5 linked regions of the Cricetulus griseus genome follow. The protein of the gene in region 1 interacts with the protein of each later gene in a pairwise test. Links are inferred from orthologs where the notes say so. Each region holds a gene or a part of one and is shown in the gene's direction. Other genes may lie near its edges.

Region 1 (4,268 bases):
TGTGATCCTGGCGCTGGGGAGGCTAAGGTGGAAGGACCAGTGCCAGGTGGAGCTGGCCTAGGCTATGGAATGAGTTCTGGGCCAGCCCAGAGCAACACACACAGTGGGTGCACACAAGATGTGTGAGTGCTGTGAGATGGTGGTGATCTGCTTCTGGGTCCTGGTTTAGGATCAGGAAGTAGCAACAGGAAATCTTCGAGTGAGAGGAAAGACAGCACACTTAGTTTCTGTTGATAAATTGTTGTTTGAGGTCGAAATTTGTGTTTGAAATTCTCCATTTGCATATTTTCTTGTAAAACCGAAATTGAGAAATTATTTTGTTTACAAGTGATTGAGGGGATTATCTCCCTAGCCTAGAGATAAATGTTATAAAGAAAAAAGATGACATTTCTTAGTGGTTTATGTTTTAGTCAAATAAGGGATATTTGTTTTTACAGCCATCTCTGTATCTGTTTTTTGAGACAGAATCTCTCTGTGCAGCCCAGGCTGGCCTCCAACTCATAACCCCTGGCCTCTGCCTCCTGAGTACTTGGGTTATAGGCTCACACTGCTACTCCCTACTTTTGAAGCCTCATCTATATTTGCTTTTGCAGTTTCCCCTTTTTACAGGCTTTTTCTGGTTATTGTGTCTATAGAAAAGTAGACCATGATCTGGCCATGGTAGGATTTATTTATTAATTTTTGTAGTAGTTCATTCAGTTTTAGCCTGTGGAACAGGGAAAACTAGGACTAACTAGATTCAGTTTTGCTAGCTGAAGCATTCTGGCCTGGGAAGCAGCTTGGCTCTTCTCAGCAGCCTTCCAGCTAAGCTGCTGTGTGTTAGGTTCTCCAGAGAGCGTGAACCTACAGGACCTTAGCATCACACGGTACACGTACAGTAGAACTCTGATTTACATTTGCTCAGTACTGTGTTACTAGCATAGCAGTTTCTTAGCCAAGTAAAATTCATCTTAGGGTGTAGAGCTTTTTGTTTGTTTGTTTGTTTTTGAGACTGGGTTTCTCTGTAGCTTTGGAACCTGTCCTGGAACTCACTCTGTAGACCAGGCTGACCTAGAACTCAGAGATCACCTGTGTCTGCCTCTCCGGTGCTGGTATTAAAGGCATGTACCACCACCGCCTGGCTAGTGTGTAGAGCTTGTTATAGTCTTTTTAAAGTTAAAACTGCTGAGCTAAGGGTAGAGGGAAGGAAGGACTTGCTGCTTGTTGATAAAGTCACACAGTGCAGACTCTTTACAAGTGATAGAATTCTTTAATAGAGTTTTCTTCCTTTTTTTTTCTAGAATCACAAGAAGCTGATGAACAGTTTGTAGCAGAAGTGATTGAAAAATGTTCATCTGATACATGTTCTAGATTTTCAGAAAATGAAGCATCACAGGCGACTACTGATTCTCATTCAGTCAAGGATGTCAGAGGAGAAACCCAACATGATGTTAGTAAGATCTTAGTAGTGAGGCCATTTTCAATAGAAACCAGGAGTTCTACAGATGACCCAGCTGCTCTTGGAACAAAAGCAGCTCATGGCTGTGAACCTGCACTCTCAGGCAAGGCTTTGCCCTCTGCTGCATCAGAAGCTACTCAGGACAAGCCAGTGACAGAAGGAGGCATGGCGGTTACATTTGAGGCCTTTACAGAGGCTGGTCTGAAGACCAGAGAAGCCAGCAGAAGCAAGCTAAGAAAACCCAAGCCTGTCTCCCTGAGGAAGAAGACAGCTGGAGGCGATGCCTCTGAAACTGAAATGATCATGGAAGGTTTGCCTTTCCCTAAGGCTTCCTCCCTGTCAGTTCCTGATGAAGTGGCTAAGAACACATATCCTAGCGTGCTGAGAGGTACCAGGGCCCAGAAATCTTCCCTTAACCTGAAAGAAGCTGCAGAAGCTCTCAGTAATGGCACTAGTGGCTCAGGGTGTGAGCTGCAGGAGGAGTCCAGGAACTCGTCTGTCAAACTTGAGTATGATTTTACAGAAGATGGGGAACATGTCGAGGCCAAGAATGACCTTCCAAGGAAACCTACTAACAAACTGATGCCGAACATACGGAAAGATGGCATCAGTCAGCCAGTAGATGTCGAACAGCCTGCAGACCCAAGAGTCCAAGATGCCTCACTCTCCCAAACATCTCCTAAGCTAGATCCTAGTAGATGGGATCACCCCAACTTTAATTCCTCTGGGAACTGCCCCATTCTGCAGAGCTCCCCACCCCTCTCCTCCAAAGGCTCCTACCACTTTGACCCAGATAACTTCGATGAGTCTATGGACCCCTTTAAGCCAACCACAGCTCTGACAAGCAGCAGCTTTTGTTCCACCACTGGTAATCATGTTAATGAAATCTTAGAGTCACCCAAGAAGGCAAAGTCGCGTTTAATAACGTGAGTGACAGTGGGTGCTGGGCGTGGTGCTCTGGTGTGTTCTTTGGGAGTTTGGCAGCTACTTCTGGTTTCTGTGAATTGCACTCATAAATGTTTGTGGTACAGTGGGGACACTTTACTCTGTAGTCTTTGCCCCTTTGCCTAACTCTTCTGTGTGTTTGGAAGCATCAGAAGTTTTCCTGTTGATTTCTGCCTTATCTCTGGGTCCTTGACTTGTTTAGGTCACCCCCCCAACACACACACATCCTGGATACTTTTTTAAAAAATTGTTTAAAAGAAATCAAGTAAATATTTGAGGTTTCCAGGAATTACATTATACATAGAATTCAAGTGTCAGTGTTAGCCACCATCTTTACATTCCAAAATTATCTGTCTAAGGTCAGCAATGTCAGAAATGACGCAGAACAATCTTACAGAACGGAAAGTTGTGATTTTTATTGGTGGTAATGATGAGAATTCTTGCTTCCTTGTGTGTTTGTAGTTTATTAGTGACTTTCTGTGATGAGAGTGTTCTAAATAACCAGTTGAATTTGGGTAAATTTGTTGTATGTTCCTTCTACCTCCTACTTTCTCCTGGGAGACAGGAATGAACCTTTATTTAGTTTGTGAGTTCTCAGAGTAATCTCTCAGGCCATATTCCACATCAGGTTTTTAATTTTGATACAAGATTACATGATCAGGAAACTCGAGTTGAATAAAAGATAGTATAACCATTTAAAACCCTATGACACCTTGTGAAAAATTAGATGCAGGGGCCAGTGACTTGGAGAATAAAATGCTGAAAAGGAAGTGTGTGTGTGGTTGTTGTTAGTTCGGCTAGGGAAATTTGGGTATTTTGCCTGAATATATGTATGTATGTCTATATTACAACTTTCATGCCTGGTACTTTCAGAAGGCAGATGAGGGCATCAGGTCCTCTAGAGCTGGACTTACAGACAGCTGTGAACTGCCATGTGGGTGCTGGGAATTGAACAAGCGTCCTCTGGAAAAGCAGCCAGTGCTAAGCCATCTCTCCAGTCCCAGGAAATACTCTTCAACATTACTATGTCTTAAAAACACCTGATTGTGAACTACATTGGAAAGAAAAATATCCCGAGGGTTAAAGAGTAGAAATGCTAATTTCAAGACCAAGAAAGTTAAGCCACACAGCGATCAGTTCTCCCCAGTATTGGTGGTATGTTTAAGGGGAATAAATTGACAGGAGTGGTTCTAAGTCTGCTTTCAGATTACATAGGTGCAATCAGGTGGCTTTAAAAACTATTACCGATTGTTTGTGCAGACCTCTCTTGACCTTTGTGGTTAGGTAGCTATGTCTGGACAGCACTTGGGGTACATCCTGGGTGTGTTGATGCCTGCCAAAGCGTTGGTCCTTCAGTGCCTTCTTTCCAGCTGCAGGTGGAAGAGTGAAGTGAATGCATTTCCCTAAGATGAGATCTGGGCCCAGGAAGGAGACACTAACTCTGTCTCTTGTGTTTAGAACCAGGAAGTGCCCACTTTTGAGCCCTGCCATCTTCACCTGGTGGTCTGGTGGTCTTTTCTACTGTTCCTTTTTTTTTTTTTTTTTGTGGAATAAATGTATTGCTTTAATAGATCACACAGACTTAATGAAAAGACTTGTACCCAGTCAACATTCTTTTCTTGTAAGAAAAGAGTGCTTGCTCTTGTGCTGTGTTAGACTTGGAGAGCAGAGTCCCTTCACTTTGAAAAGACTGAAGCATCGTGGGGTTAACATACACAGTGAACAGTTTTTGGGAACGTTCGAAAAGATGTAATTAAATAGAGACAATGTAATATGGTTAGGATTTTGCAGAGCAAATAATATAAATGATGTGGAGTCGTTCTACACTTTGAAGCAGAGTCTCACTTTGTAACATTCAGGCTAGCCTCTAACTTTTGATCCTGCT
Region 2 (4,307 bases), on another chromosome or scaffold:
GGTTTAAAGGTGTGCACCACCAGCGCAGAGCCGAGCCAAAGTTAGCATTTAGGGGAGGTGGAAGTGAACAGGTTCAATTGACTTCTTTCAAGAGGATGTGGGTGGTTTCCCAGCAAGTTCAAGGCCAGCCTGGTCTACATACACAGTCCTAGGCCAGACAGGGATATATAGGGAGATCCTGTCTCAAACAGCTGCTGTGGTGACATCTGCCTTCCCACTTATCCCTGCAAAAGCAGGGTCAGGTAAGTTCGAACACAGCCAGGTTTACATTGGGTGTTTCATCTAGGTCAGTCAGAGCTACATAGTGAAATTTGGTCTTAAAAAGGAAACGTCTATACTTGAAAGCATTCTGGAGATCTTTAAAAACAGATTTAATTGTATATTTGTGTGTGGGTATGTGCACGGAATCGTAGGTGCCTGAAGGGGCCAGAAGAGGGCGTCAGATCTGGAGCGGGACTAACATGTTTGGGAGCTGTCCAATGTGGGTGCTGTAACTCGACTCAGGTCCTCTGCAAGAACAGTACATATTTTTAACTTCTGAGCCATTTCTTTAGCCCAACAGCCCGTATTTTATTCATCAGTGTGGTCTTCGCTAAGTTTGGTAAGAGACACAAGTTCTTGGGAGAAACAATTTACCTTCTTTTTTTCTTGTCATTGACATTAACCACAGAGCTTTCTTCATAACAACACTTGAGAACTTGGCAAAAAAAAACAAAAAACAAACAAAAAAAACCAAAACCAAAAACCCCAAGCAAACAAAAAGTATATTGTTATGGCATTAAGGAACACAGCATTTCGGTATTAGACAGCTAGACATCTACTTTGGACGTAGTTTAAAGTGAAACTAAGATATACCCGTTGTGTGACTTCGGCCCCAAATATTTTTCTAGGAGATGCGCCACTGTTACACTTCCTAGTTTTGGAATCCTGCAATTTAAAGCCAAACTCACTTCCTTTGTGACTCTTCCCAACTTGTAAAGGAATTCTTTGCTGCCGATACTTACGTGAGATTTAATGAGGCAAGTGAAGGGTGACATTTGTAGTATGCCTTACCTTGTCCGGCTCCTCGAAAGCATTAGGTACCCCTCTCTCCGGAATGTCACCCCCCCTCCCATTTTACACAGGAAATAACTGAGACGATCTTTGCCACACTGCAGTTACAGCTATGATACAATAAGTTAACATAACTGTGTCAAAGCGACACTATTAGGAGGTAGGGACCAGTCTGGAAAGCGACGGCTACAGCGCCCCTCCTCCATCCCCCCCACTCCACCCGTACGCTTCGCCGCGCTCGAGTTTCTGCAAATGAAACTTGCGGCGCCGCCCCAGACTTGCATTCCTGGGCGACACCCCGAGGTGGGAATCCACCAAGGACGCGGTGGCAGGGGGAACCCCGGCCGGGCAGGGCGAGCCTAGACCTCGTGTGCGCGCTGAGCCGGTGGCGCGCGGGGACAAGCCAGGCGGCTGGGGGGGGGCGGGAGGGAAGGGGCTCTCCCCGCCTCGCGGCTGCGTCCTGCGCCCCGCGCCCTGCCCCCAGCCTCTGCTGGCGCTAAACCCCGGAGAGCGGAGCGTGCACGCTGAGCCTCGGCGGGCCCGGCCGCGGCGCTGGGCATGCTCAGTGGGCAGGACCCGGTAGAGCGGAGAGTAAGGACGCGTGGGCTCCCCGGGTTCAGGCCCCGGCCCCGGGCTGTGGTGGGGGGAGGTGGAGGGGTGAGAGAGTGGCACCGACCGCCGCCACCTCGCCCGCGGCCGCCCGACCCCGGATGGCGCGGGGCCCGTCCCGCTTCCGCCGTTGAGCGCGCCGCACGGCGGGCGGAGGCGCGGGGCGGGGCCGGCGGGCGCGAGGCGGGGGGGGGGGGGAGGCCTGGCGGTGGGGGCGGGGCGGGGCGCCCGGGGCGGGTGGGGAGGGGCGGGCGCGGAGTCACGGGGGTGGGGTCAGCGGGAGGCTCGACAGGCCGCGCGCTGCAGGGCCGGGGGCGGCTCGCGGAAGCAGCCCGGTCAGGGCAGCGGCGGCGACTTGGCGGCCGCGCGGCTCGGGCCAAGCCGCCGTGGGGCCCCATCTGCCGGGCGGCCGGCGGAGTTTGTGGTGATTGTTACTGCCCCCGCCCCGGCTGCCATCTCCTCCTCCTCCTCCTGGGCCGGGCCGGTCCCCTCCCCGCGGCCGCCTCCTCCTCTGGGCCCGCGCGTCTCGTCCCTCGCGGAGCCGCCGCCGCCGCCGCCTCCTCATTCATCCTCGTGCACCATAGGCGGCACAGGCACCAAGATGTCCAACCGAGTGGTCTGCCGGGAAGCCAGCCACGCCGGGAGCTGGTACACCGCCTCAGGTAGGGATCCAGGCCGCCAGGCGGTCGAGCTGAGCAGCCGGGGCCCGGCGGGCGGGGACGCGGGCGGCGGGCGCGGGCGGCGGCGCGACCGCGTGCCGAGGGAGCGGGCCGGGCCGGGCCGTGTCGCCTCCCCCAACCCGGCGCTCGGGCTGGCCGCCTGGCGCCCGCGGAGTTGGCCGAGGAGTTGCCGGCCGGGTCGGGCCGGGGCCGGGCAGGGCCAGGGCGAGCGCGGGCTGCGGGGCTTCGCGGACAGCGGCTGCCGCGGGGAAGGACGAGTCGGTGCGGTCCTCGTGCTAGGGACTGGTCGAAAGCACAGCAGCCTTTGCCCTCATCTTCGAGGCACCTCGCGCCCCTGGAAGGAGTGACAAGCCTTACTTTTGTCCCCCACTTCATGTTGCCACTCTAGGTCTCGCTTGAAAGATCTGTCAGCCGAGGGCCTCTCGGGGATTTGTCGCTTTGTATGTGGAGGCTCTGGCAGAGGTGCTGCCAGGCAGGGGCTATGGGTAGCCTCCTAGCTCTTTTGTCAGTGTTTGCATTGTTACTGTCATCCAGGGGCAGCTGGAGATGGCATCAGCACTTTTCCCCAGCAACCTCTAAAGTACCCAGCGCTCAGCACCGAGTGCTGGACTACCTGTCCAGTTAGCTTACGTTTTGAGAGAATTCTGCCTTCTTGTCTGCACTCTCTTAAAAACCATGTGGAGTTCTTTAGGTAAGAAAGGCTAGGGCCGTTTCCCTTTAGTCCAACTCTCGTGGCAAGGATTGCTTTTTGAGATTTTCAGGGGTCACATTTCTGGTATGGTAACAAAGGAAAAGTTCCTCTGTGATTCCTGTTGGTTTCTAGTCCAGCTTGGCTTATAAACAACTGGCCCTAAACTTCATGTGTTCCTTTGCAAGTACTAGTTTTTTGTTTTTGTTTTTGTTTTTTGTTTTTTTTTTTTTTAGAAAACAGAAAATGTGGAAGGCAGTTAGTGTGTTTTCTGAGATTGTTCCACCAGCTCTTGAAAATACATGTACCTTACAGGCTCACAGTGGATTCGCCCTACTAAGACACAAAGGAATTATGGTTGGGTTTTGGATCTACTGCTAACAGGTAGCTGTAGTTTCTTGCCTTAGATAAGTATGCCTTTTTTTTTTTTTTTTTGCCTAAAGTGTTGTTCCCTTTGTGGTCCTGAAGTACTTCATAGACTTTTAATCAGTTCTCACAACCTGAAAATGTCAGTTAAGTTATTCTTGTGTCAGTATATGGGGAAACAAAATTTTAGTGCCGCACCCAAGACTAGGCCAGAGGTGAAATAGGAATCGAACAAGCCTGAATTTTCCCTTTCTAAATCAATGCACTATTAATATTATTCATTGCTAAATAGCAGGCTTGTAAATAAGTGTGCCGCCCCCCCCCCCCAGTACGTTTTGGAGAATTACAGTCACACTTTTTTTTCATATCATGGTTGTCTTTTGGCATTTATTTATTGTGGTATTTCTATACTTTTTGTTTTGTTTTTTCTGTGTAGCTCTAGTTGAGCTCTGTAGATCAGGCTGGCCTCAAACTCATAGAGATCTACCTGCCTCTGCCTCTCCACCTCTGGGATCAAAGGACAAAGGCCAGTGCTACCACTGCCCAGTTTACATTTGTTACAAATGTTTTAAACTTTCGTTGTAGTTTACATTGAAATGTGTGCAAATGTCCTGGAGAGAATCTTTTAGATTGTTAAATATTTATACAGGTAGTAAAGTTGGACACAATTGACACTTTTGGTTTTAGAATTCCTTAGAGTTCAAACACAAGTTGTAGCCTTTAATTTGGTTCAAAAAAATCTTGACTATAGATACTTATTAGTAGTAATTATATTCTTCTCTAAAATCTGAGTGAACTACCTTACTGGAATTCAGACGTATGACTTTTTGGGGTGTGTGAGACTTTTTCTTTTTTTTTGGTTTTTCGAGACAGGGTTTCTCTGTATTGCTTTGGAACCTATCCTGGAACTT
Region 3 (3,512 bases), on another chromosome or scaffold:
CACTCCTGCACAGATGAAGCCTCACATAGGAACACACAAGTAGACAGAGACAGGGACAAAGAGACAGAGAGACTAAATAAATACATATGTATGTACTACTGTGTATCTGATTCCTCTACTAAGACATTCCATCCAGGAGGCAGGAGAAAGGGAGGGAAGCAAGATGGAGCAGTAACAAGAAGTGACAAGCACTCCCTGCTGCCTGCTCCAAAGTTAGATAAGCAGTAAATAATTGGTAGGTTGGAGGAGGCTTTTTAATGAATCTGCCTACAAGTTGGGCCAACAATTCCAGGGACCTAACTTTGATGAGTGGTTGACTTGGTGGGGTGGGCTTGGTGACTCATTTGCCTTTCAGTTGTCTGGGTTCCTGTCAGTGTCCCTAGAATCCTCATTGTTGCCTCAGTCTTGACATGGGGAGAATGTTTCTTTCATAACTAGTTTGTTCACATCTGCCCAGCAAGAGTTGTAGCAAATGACCAAAAATGAACAGAGTTCCTCTTTTAAGGGTTTGTGTTTTTTCCTTCTGTCCAAGTTTGAACATCTTGAGCTGTACTTCTATGTTCTTCAGGCTCATAACCAGCTTCAGTAATAGATGGCAAATTTTAGTAATCTCAAGAACCAAAAGCTGTTCCTTGGATTTTATAAAACACTGTGACACCAACAATGAGAGCTTGACTCTAGGCAGGAAAACAGTGTAAGAAAAAAATCAAAGTAGACGGTGTGTTCAAATACAGTTGAGCACAGATTCAGAGTATGACTGCCTTAACAGTGGTCGATAGCTTCCTACAGTGATCCAAACCAAGATTTGATTTCAAAAATGGTACAATGCTTTTATGGCAAGGAAATCTTTATGTACGTTGGGATGGGATGGTATATGATGTATCTACCTGGGAAAGGATGCACTTGCCAATATATGAGCATATAGAGGCCCCAGGAAGGCACTAGATGTCTTCCTCTATGACTTCATATATGTTTTGAGACGTGATCTCTCACTTAACCTAGAACATGCTGTTTGCCCTAGTATCCACCTGTGTCTACCCTGCCATCACTGAAGTTACAGGCACATACCCCAAGGCCCAGCTACTACGTGGGCACCAGGGATTCAGACTCAGGTTCTCAAGCTTATACAGCAAGTACTTTACGCACTGGTTGCATCTTTGTAGTTGGAAAGTCATCATTGTCACTTTTGTGGTCCTCTGTGTCACTTTTGTGGTCCTCTGTCTCCTCCTCCTGTGGCACGGGGGATTCAGCTTAGAGCTTTGCACATGGTAGGCAAGCCAGGATAGAGCTTTCACAAAGCTGGTCTGTGGACAACCTGTGTCCATGACCCTCTTAATTTTGAGACACAATCTTACAAAATTGTGCTGAACTTGAACTCACTCTGTGGTGTATTTCACTTTTTCAAAGGTGATACTTTTTGTGTGTTTGAAGGGCAAAAAAGCACCTCATTCCTTTTTTGAGCACCCCAAATCACATATCACATTCTCCTATTTGTTGGAGAACATTTAAACCCCACCCAGTTAAGATTGCTCTTGGGAGCCTGTTAGCTACCGCAGGTCAGTGTCTACGCTGGCCCCATGACTCCGCATATTTACATCAGAGAAATATATTTGGAATAGCTAAGTGCCGGTCTGGGGAAGGGTTGCTTAGATAGATCTTATGTGCTGTGCATTGTGCCAGGCACTCTTAAAGCATGGATGCTCACAGGAACTCTATGTGACGTTCTTTCTCACTTCTAGGAAAACAGCCTGCAGGAACAGAGTCTAGAGTCCCACACAGAGGTATCCAGAGCTCTTGCTTCAGGCATTGCTGACACCAAGTAGCTCCCTAGTGGGCCAGAGACAGTTAAATGGACCCAGAGTGCCTTATGCCCTCTTAAAGAAACTGTCACATTTGTTCACCACTTCCCATATCTATTTTTGTTTTCAAACAGACTAAAGAACCCATAAAGAAAAAAGAAGACGAAGACGTGAAACAAACAGAGGATGAGAAAACCAAGCAGATATACAAGAGCTGGAAGGAGGATTCCGAATGGCAGGCATCGTGTGAGTACCCCGGGGCCTCAGAGGCACCTCCAGGCTCGAGACTGGACCTTCCACTTGAGTGATTCATCAGGAGGCACAGAGAGTGCATCCTTGAGAAGTACCTTCCCATTGAGTTGTCACTCAAATGGTATCAGGAAGTGGTATCTCCTCAGGTGCCTGAGTAGCAGAATGGCTTTGCATTCATCTTTATACTGTTAAATTATGTTTCTGTATGGTGGAATTGTATATAGCTATGAAAAAATCCCACAGAAGAATATTCAATGACATTAAAATATGTCCCTTTCTTGGAGAAGAAAACATTATAAATAGTATAAAATATAATTATTTAAAAATTCTAAATTATTATTACTATTATGTTCTTCTTCTGTTTATTCACTCTGCCTGCCAGCCCTGCCTATCCCTTCTCTTGCCTGCCTTGTTATTGGCTGTTCAACTCTTTATTAGACCCATCAGGTGTTTGAGGCAGACAAAGTAACACAGCTTCACAGAGTTAAATAAATACAATATGAAAGAATGCAGCATATCTTAGCATCTTTAAACAAATATTCCATAACATAAACGAATGTTAACATATTTTAAAATAATATTCTACTTTGTAATACAAAGCATGCAGAATTGACAGATGGGATATATTTGCATCACTCTCACGATTCTATGCCTCTGACCCAACATTGACTCTCTTTTGAGCTTGTACTGCCAGGGCCAAACCAGGAAGACAGGACAGGCAGAGGATGGGCAACCCAGGCTGAAGAATGGCTGAGAGTCTTCACTTGGCACCAACAGAGAAGACTTGATTGTCACTTGAGACAGGGAGACAGGAAGAACCTAAACAGCAAGATTTTCAGGATGCTAAGGTCCTGAATTGGTCTGCAGTTCCATTACAATCCATTATGCTAAAAGTTTTGTGAAACAAAAATTATTTGCAAGATCCAATCTGTGACCTTCTTGTGCTAAGCACTGAAACTCTCGTATGATAAATAGTTTTTAGTGTCTTCAGTGTCAAATATGACAATATCTAAACCACAATGCCTGAATTATTTTTTAAAAAAAAACCTCAATGAAAATGGTTATTGAAAAAAAAAACAAAACAAGACACCCCCCCCCCCCGTGAAACTTCGAAGTCAGGGATAGTAATGCATGCCTTTAACCCCAGCACTTAGAAGGCAGAGGTAAGCAGATCTCTGTGGGTTCAAGGCCAGTACTGGGATAACCAAGGCCACACAGAGAAACCATGTCTCCAACCTCCCTGCTCCCAAAGTAAATAGTTACTACATCCTGCATTAATCTTTAACGCTACACTGCTAAAAGATGACAACCCCATCTATTTTAGAAAGTAATTAATGTTAAAGGGCATATTGTGAAGTGTTTGTACATTTACTAAGGTGTTCTGAAATTCTCCACAGCATGTTTATGGCTTAAAAAAAAAATCCTTTACTTCTGGTCTCTTTGGCCAACTCATATTCAGTT
Region 4 (3,512 bases), on another chromosome or scaffold:
GAGATCTGTTTGCCTCTGCCTCCCCAGTGCTGGGATAAAAGGCGTGCACCACCAACGCTGGGCTTGCTTTTGTTTTTAATTAGCTTACAAAATTGCAAGTTCCCTCCTCCCTCCCACAATATCCTTTGTTTTGATCTTCTTACTCCCTCCTCTCACTATGTAAGTCATCATATCCTCAAACTTGCAGCAATCTCCCTGGCTCTACCTCCCAAATACTGGAATAACAGGCATTTGCCACTACGCCCAACTTCTAAAGAGAAACTTGAAGAGAAAAAAAGGACTAGGAAAAAAAAATCTTTAAATGCCTTATATATATTGATACATATAAGGCTACAGAGTTGTTTTTAATCATTGTGTGTTTAATGTATCTAGGATAACTGATAGGAGTTTAACATAGTATATGCTTTTTTTCCCCCTCAAAGCACCTGTTGAAGATTCTGTTTCCAGCACCACAGAAGCTAAGCCTGATCTGAAGAAGGCTAAAGCTCCAGGAGTTTCCTCCAAAGCAAAGGTGTGTTAACTCTGCACACTTAGATAGTTCTTTTGTCTTAATTTTGTACACTTAGTCAGTCCATTAGGAAAGGTCATTGTATGTATGAAAGAACATTCCTGCTCTTGATAATATGAAATTAATCATTTATAGAAGTTTCTGTGTCTCTGATTGGTTTCATTTTTTTGCTCTACTTGAGATAAAACTTAGGACTTGTAGCTAGAGAAACCCTGTACTTGGTCCTGTGGCCATGGTTTTTTATTAATCAGATCCCAAAACAGTCATTCTGTTTCCACAAGATGTTGTCATGGAGATCTCTGAATATTTGCACTAATGAAAAAGAGTGTGACATTGTAACACACACGTTTAATCATAATACTAGGGTGGCAGAGGTAGTTAGATCTCTATGAGTATGAGGCTAGCCTGGTCTACATGGCAAGATCGTGTCTCAGATACAAAGGAGAAAAAGCATATGCTCTGTCAACCCTGGGAATAATCCTTAGGTTGGTCTGTATTTGAAAATAATCACCTTTCTTCATACCCAGCTTAAATGATTTATTTGTATTATTTTATGTGCATTTGTGTTTTGCTTACATGTATGTCTTTTTGAGTATGTCAGATCCCCTGGAACTGGAGTTACAGATAGTTATGAACTGACACTTGGGTGCTGGGAATTGAACCTGGATTATCTGGAAGAGTATTTAATGCTCTTAACTGCTGAGCCATCTTTCCAGCCCCAGAGTCTGCTGAATTTTTTTTAAAAGCTTACAAAGCACTTTTACATAAATGATTTTTTTTTAGCAAAAAGGTATTTAAAATGAAATTCTGGGAAACTAGAAAAATTAACTTTTGCTACATTTATAATAATTTCAATAATAAGATTCAGATTTTACATTAAGCATATGCACTATTCACCATTTTTCTTCCATTTGATAAAAATATTTTAGTCCTATTATATTTGAAAATTAAGTATTTAAAATATATACAGTGCTGGGTGTTGGTGATGCACATCTTTAATCCCAGCACTCGGGAGGCATAGGCAAGTGGATCTCTGTGAGTTTGAGGCCAGCCTTGTCTACAGAGCAAGTTCCAGGACAACCTTTAAAGCAATACAGAGAAACCCTGTCTCCTCGAAAATCCAAATAAATAAATAAAATATATACAGCAATTTTGTTTAGAAAACGATTTAGTACTTTAGTTACAGCACTGTAGTAGAGCTACACTAAAGAAAGATACATAGAGAAAAATAGAACTTTCTCAACTAAGTGATATGAGCTGTACAAGTGCTATTCATTCAAATGACATTAGTATGAAATATATAAATATATAAATAGCCTTGAAGAGACAGGAGGTGGTGGTACATGCCTTTAAGCCCAGCACTCAGAAGGCTGAGACAGGCAGATCCCTGAGTTTGAGACCAGCCTAGTCTACAGAGCTAGGGTTATACAGAGAAACCCTCTCTTGAAAAACCAAAACAAAGATCTAAAGGTATTGAAGATTTCAAGGAAGAAAACTAAAAATTGTCTGAGACCCAGACTAATTGGAGTTAATAGCAATTTTTCCAAATATATATATAAGTATCATTCTAACTCAATAACTAACAAAGACTCACATAATTTACAACATTTATAGTATACATATGTATTCAGAGTCTAGAGCTGAGGTGGGAGGATTGCAGGTTAAAGACTAGCCTGGTCTACATGGTAGGACTTTGTCTCATTCAAAAGCATATTACGTGAAAGATTCATGACTCATCATTTTCTTTCATGTTGGAATATATTGTAGAGTGAGTTTTCTGGCTCCTGTAATGTTCTCTCCTGTAATGCAACAGCATATGTTCATCAGAAGTGGTCTACCTAATCGATATTCCCTTAACTCTGGTTGTAGAGTGCACAAGGGAAGAAAGTGCCAAGCAAAGCCACCTTAAAGGAAGATGATGACAAATCTGGCCCTATTTTTATTGTTGTTCCAAATGGAAAGGAGCAAAGGATGAGAGATGAGAAAGGATTAAAGGTAAGGAAGTAATAAGAATCTTTGGGAATTTTTGCTTGTTTTTATCTTGTTAATCAAGGACTTAGCCTGCTAAGACAGGAAAATTACTGTGAATCCATGGCCAGCCTGCTCTCTGTATTCAGTGCCAGGTCAGTCACTACTAAATGGCAAGACCCTGTCTCAAAAAAAAAAAAAAAAAGGATGAAAGAAAGAAAGAAGAAAAACAAAAACAGGCTAAAGAGCAAAAAAGCATCAAATTAGTTGGGTCCTTCAGCTAGCTGTGCCAGGTGACTATCTCAACTTTGTATCAGTTGAACTATTCACTGCCTTCCTGTTTTTCCCCTCAGGTGCTAAAGTGGAATTTTACTACTCCACGTGATGAATACATTGAACAGCTGAAGACTCAAATGTCTAGCTGTGTGGCTAAGTGGTTACAAGATGAAATGTTTCACTCAGACTTCCAGCATCATAATAAAGCCCTGGCTGTCATGGTTGATGTAAGTCTTCAAATAGATAAATATCTATATGTCTTGGGAATATGGAAATATGGAGTACTGTGAAATGGTCAAGTTTGAAAACCTTGAGGAAGGATGTACAGTGTTTTCTGTAGAGCTGTCTCATTTGATAAAATAAATGATGTTGTATTTGGGGGGTCCTATTAAAGCTCTAAAAATCTTAGATTTTCTTTGGGGCACCAGAACAATTTAAGAAATATGGCTCTAATAGAATTTAAATTTGCATACAAAATTAACTGTGGGGTTTTTATTTTTATCTTAAGCACTTGGAGAGTGAAAAAGAAGGTGTCATTGGTTGCCTGGATCTTATCTTAAAATGGCTTACCCTCCGGTTTTTCGACACCAATACAAGCGTTCTAATGAAAGCACTGGAATATTTAAAATTGCTCTTTACTCTGCTGAGTGAGGAAGAATATCATCTCACTGAGAACGAAGCATCTTCCTTTATCCCCTATCTCATCCTCAAGGTAATGTGTTCTTACCCTGGAGACTTCTTGAGTTCTGAGCTAACTTTA
Region 5 (4,014 bases), on another chromosome or scaffold:
GTAAAAATGAGGCAGAGAGAGCTGAGGACTGCTGGCAGGGTGGGGAGCCCTGACACACTTTCAAAAGCTCATGCCCAGCCAAGAGCGGGATGTGGGGACAAAAACGTCAAAGGGGGATGTGGGCCACATGGTGGAGAGGCTAGGAACGCCACGCCTGGGTAATGTCTTAACTTCTTAGCCAATCAAGGAAGAGCATGCCAGTTGTGCCAGTGTTGGGAAGGCTGAGGCTCAGTTACAAGTTCAATGCTAGCCTGGGCTATAAAAGGAGATCCTGTCTCAAGATTTTGTAATCTTGAAAAAAAAAAAAAAGTATTTGAAAGAACGATCCAGACCCAGGGTCCATGAGAGAAGATGAATATATAGAATAACGTGCACAGGCCACCCTGTGGGCCATCCGCATTAGAACCCAGCAACTGCCCCGTGTGCCCGAGGCTGCAGCCCTTCACGAACCATTGGGACTGGAGCCTGATGCCACAGAAACAAACAAGAAATCTAACAACTAAGCCAAGTGTTGTGACGCAGGCCTGGCATCCCAGCACTTGGGAGACTAACAGGGTGTTCAGGGCCAGCCTGGGCAACATGGCAAAGTCAAGAGACCATCCTGGGCTGCAGCGCTTGTGGGAGGCCAGCGCGCATTACAGAATGAGTTCAAGGCCAGCATGCGACTGTGTCTCAGCAAGCGACGCTCACCAAACGTCCTGCCTCGGCACCGGGTCGGGGCGCATCCCGCGGCACCCGGAGGCCCCCACGGGTCCCCCGCGTGTTGCATTGACTGACCCAGAGGTGAGGAACCCCTCCTGCCCAAGGTCACGGAGCAGAAGCCGGGATGCAGGGCTGCAGGCACCCGGGGACCCTCCCGAGCCCCTGGGGGAGGAGGACGGGGACTCGCCCCATTCTGCAGAAGAGGAAACTGAGGCTGGCAGGGGCGGCGGCGGCAGTTGGGGCCCCGGGGCGCAGGGCGGGCTAAGCCCGGCCCGAAGTCTGCGGTGGCGACAGCGAGGGGACGACAGCAAGGTCTCGGCCACGGTCACGAGTGGTGCAGCCGAGCCGACCAGCCGTGGCGCTCACCTGGGCCGCGAGCAGCAGCAGCAGGGCCGCGGCGAGCCGCGCCGCCGCCATGTCCGCCTGTCCTGCCGCAGCTCTAGGCGGAAGGTTTCCCGGCAACGCCTTCGGGACCCCGAGACGCGCACGCGCCGGCCCTGCGCGTGCGCGGGCCCGCCCCTCGCTAGAAGTGGGCGGTGCGGAGCCTGCGCAGAGCAGCGCAGGTCGGCAAGATGGCGGTGAGCATTGCTGGGTCGCGGAGAGAGCGGGGTTCCCCCCGAGGGACTGTAGACGCGAAAACTGGGGGCACAGGAGGACCAAAGAGAGGGGGGCGGACACCCGAAGACGGATAGGGAGACAGGGACGCGGAGGAATAGGAATCACGTGGGACTGCACACCGGGCGTCTTGAGGAAGCAGACCGGGAACCTGGGGAAGCAGACCCGGAACCTGGGGAAGCAGACCCGGAACCTGGGGAAGCAGACCCGGAACCTGGGGAAGCAGGCGGGGAACCTGGGGGTGCAGACCCGGAACCTGGGGGTGCAGACCGAGGAACCTGGGGGTGCAGACCGGGGAACCTGGGGGTGCAGACCGGGAACCTGGGGGTGCAGACCGGGGAACCTGGGGGTGCAGACCGGGGAACCTGGAGGGTGCAGACCGGGGAACCTGGGGGTGCAGACCGGGGAACCTGGGGGTGCAGACCGGGGAACCTGGGGGTGCAGACCGGGGAACCTGGGGGTGCAGACCGGGGAACCTGGGGGTGCAGACCGGGGAACCTGGGGGTGCAGACCGGAGGGGGAACCTGGGGGTGCAGACCGGGAACCTGGGGGTGCAGACCCCTGGGGGTGCAACCTGGGGGTGCAGACCGGGAACCTGGGGGTGCAGGCAGGGGACATGAGGATATACACAGGGGGCATGGGAATAGAGAGAGATGCAGACTCAGCGACCTGGAATTTAGTTGGGGGAACATGGGAGATGGAAATGAGTTTGCAGACAGTTATGAGGGCTGCAGGATGGTCAAAAGGAGTCGCTGGGTGCCGGGTCCAGGCAACAAGGATATGGGAAGACTGGGTCTCACTCCTCAGCTCCTCCACTCTCCAGCAGGACAAAGAGAAAAAGAAGAAAGAAAGCATCTTGGACCTATCTAAGTACATTGACAAGACCATCCGAGTGAAGTTCCAGGGTGGCCGGGAAGGTGAGTGGATGCAACAGGGCCCCTAAGAATCGGGGTTGCGACAAGCAAGGGAAAGCCTCACAAGGCAGGCATTTTAACTCTTAACAAAGGCTAAGCTTGGGCCATCCTGTTACTTGAGAGGTACCAGTATGTCTCAATTGTGGATGGGGAAAATGAGTCCCAGGGAAAGAAAGCCAGGTGCGGTAGCACCCACACCATTATTGCTGGAGCCTGAAGGAAGAGGCCAGAAAGCTGGGAGGACATAGAAGAAGGAGGCAACAGGGGGATGGAAGGAAGGCATCCCTTCAAGAGCCTGGAGGTAGCAGGGACCCAGGAGGTTTCCAGTAGCAGGATCAGGGAAAGTTCCAGCCAGTCTGAGCTATGTGGCAAGACCTGTCTCCAAAAATCAACCAGGGCTAGGCTATAGCTTGGTGGATAGAGGGTTGGTTTAGTGTGCATAAAGCCCTGGATTTTATCTCCAACACCATGGAAACCAGGTGTGGTTGTACAAGCCTGCTATTCCAACCCTAGGAAGGTAAACACAGAATCGGGAAGTTCAAGATTATTTTCAGGTTGCCTAGTGAGTCTGAGGCCAGCCTGGGCAAATGATACTCTCTCATACAAATGGGAGGGGAAAAAAGGCTATTTTGTGTTACATGGAAACTATACAGAATTCAGTTTGGGGGATGATAACATTTTATTGACACTTGGTCCACCATGAACTCACTATCTATGGCCCCTTCCACACTTGTAGGAAGAGAGTTGGGGGTCATAGTCAGCAGGCCACCACATAGGGACATGTCTCCCCATGAGTTCTGTAGTGATAACTGTCCCCATGCCTGGGTCTGTAGTGGGAGGACAATAACATCATCCTTACCCATCTCTCCCTTCAAGCCAGCGGGATCCTGAAAGGGTTTGACCCACTGCTCAACCTGGTGCTGGATGGAACCATTGAGTACATGAGAGGTGAGCTGGCTGTGGTTGTCCAGGGATGCCACCAGGCCCTGTTTCTTCTCCACACCTGTGCAGTCACATTGCCGCAGGTGGTGCTGACCTAGGGTGCAGGTCCCTCCCTGATCACCAGAAAGGTGACAGGCCCACCATGATGGCCCCAGGCTTGAGATTTCAGCTCCTTCCCCTCAGCCCTCCTGGGGATGGCAGAAATAGTAGCTACTGTCCTCTGTCTGGATTGTTTGCCTGTGTCACCAGCTCCAGGACGCATAGGATCTCAGCTTATTCCAGAATAGTACCTGTAATGCCCAAAGAGTGTCCCTTCCTCTGCACCCACAACAATTACTTTCTAATTGCTCCCTGTCTCCACCTCTGGTCCATCCTCCCCGGGGCCTCTGCTTCCCCTGCAGACCACTCCTTGGGGTGAGTATCTGCCCTGGGTTCTTGTAGTATCCATGCCTACAGTCGGCTCTGAGACCCCAGGGCCTGGGTGTGTCAGTCCCCAAAAGAAAGATGGGACAGCCCTCTGAGGTCCTGGTTGTGGAGTGCTGGGTGGAAAGGACATGTCTTCAGTTCCTCTTGCCTGTCACCCCCTATTCCCACCAGACCCTGATGACCAGTACAAGCTGACAGAAGACACACGGCAGCTGGGGCTTGTGGTGTGCCGAGGCACCTCAGTGGTGCTCATCTGCCCACAGGATGGCATGGAGGCTATCCCCAACCCCTTCGTGCAGCAGCAGGATGCCTAGGTGGAGAGCGATCTGGCCCCAAGGACCTTCCTTCCTGTGTGAACTTTGTTTGGTGTTTTACTTTTGGATTTTGTTTCTGGTTTTTTATTTTGTTTTTTAAT

What was found.
Region 2: the proteins of Tacc1 (region 1) and Memo1 interact in binary tests that used the Homo sapiens proteins (3 or more experiments, as listed by UniProt). The two-hybrid records come from large-scale screens. The link is inferred for Cricetulus griseus from reciprocal best matches to the Homo sapiens genes TACC1 and MEMO1.
Region 3: the proteins of Tacc1 (region 1) and Sh2d4a interact in binary tests that used the Homo sapiens proteins (3 or more experiments, as listed by UniProt). The two-hybrid records come from large-scale screens. The link is inferred for Cricetulus griseus from reciprocal best matches to the Homo sapiens genes TACC1 and SH2D4A.
Region 4: the proteins of Tacc1 (region 1) and Ckap5 interact in binary tests that used the Homo sapiens proteins (3 or more experiments, as listed by UniProt). The link is inferred for Cricetulus griseus from reciprocal best matches to the Homo sapiens genes TACC1 and CKAP5.
Region 5: the proteins of Tacc1 (region 1) and Lsm7 interact in binary tests that used the Homo sapiens proteins (3 or more experiments, as listed by UniProt). The link is inferred for Cricetulus griseus from reciprocal best matches to the Homo sapiens genes TACC1 and LSM7.

The regions. Positions count from the first base shown.
Region 1 is NW_023276807.1:58,554,756-58,559,023, forward strand, and holds the start of Tacc1 (transforming acidic coiled-coil-containing protein 1), read left to right. Parts: upstream 1-1,456; 5' UTR 1,457-1,603; coding exon 1,604-2,364; intron 2,365-4,268. UniProt on the Homo sapiens protein: Involved in transcription regulation induced by nuclear receptors, including in T3 thyroid hormone and all-trans retinoic acid pathways. Might promote the nuclear localization of the receptors.
Region 2 is NC_048600.1:9,364,795-9,369,101, forward strand, and holds the start of Memo1 (protein MEMO1), read left to right. Parts: upstream 1-1,504; 5' UTR 1,505-1,644; intron 1,645-1,959; exon of another isoform or gene 1,960-2,246; 5' UTR 2,247-2,263; coding exon 2,264-2,324; intron 2,325-4,307. UniProt on the Homo sapiens protein: May control cell migration by relaying extracellular chemotactic signals to the microtubule cytoskeleton. Mediator of ERBB2 signaling.
Region 3 is NW_023276806.1:245,081,209-245,084,720, forward strand, and holds part of Sh2d4a (SH2 domain-containing protein 4A), read left to right. Parts: intron 1-1,933; coding exon 1,934-2,045; intron 2,046-3,512. UniProt on the Homo sapiens protein: Inhibits estrogen-induced cell proliferation by competing with PLCG for binding to ESR1, blocking the effect of estrogen on PLCG and repressing estrogen-induced proliferation. May play a role in T-cell development and function.
Region 4 is NC_048599.1:85,166,942-85,170,453, reverse strand, and holds part of Ckap5 (cytoskeleton-associated protein 5), read left to right. Parts: intron 1-422; coding exon 423-511; intron 512-2,377; coding exon 2,378-2,503; intron 2,504-2,829; coding exon 2,830-2,979; intron 2,980-3,260; coding exon 3,261-3,464; intron 3,465-3,512. UniProt on the Homo sapiens protein: Binds to the plus end of microtubules and regulates microtubule dynamics and microtubule organization. Acts as a processive microtubule polymerase. Promotes cytoplasmic microtubule nucleation and elongation. Plays a major role in organizing spindle poles.
Region 5 is NC_048598.1:101,634,291-101,638,304, reverse strand, and holds the start of Lsm7 (U6 snRNA-associated Sm-like protein LSm7), read left to right. Parts: upstream 1-1,210; 5' UTR 1,211-1,274; coding exon 1,275-1,280; intron 1,281-2,140; coding exon 2,141-2,234; intron 2,235-3,107; coding exon 3,108-3,179; intron 3,180-3,770; coding exon 3,771-3,913; 3' UTR 3,914-4,014. Other genes in the region: Sppl2b (signal peptide peptidase-like 2B), read right to left, coding at 1,069-1,119. UniProt on the Homo sapiens protein: Plays a role in pre-mRNA splicing as component of the U4/U6-U5 tri-snRNP complex that is involved in spliceosome assembly, and as component of the precatalytic spliceosome (spliceosome B complex).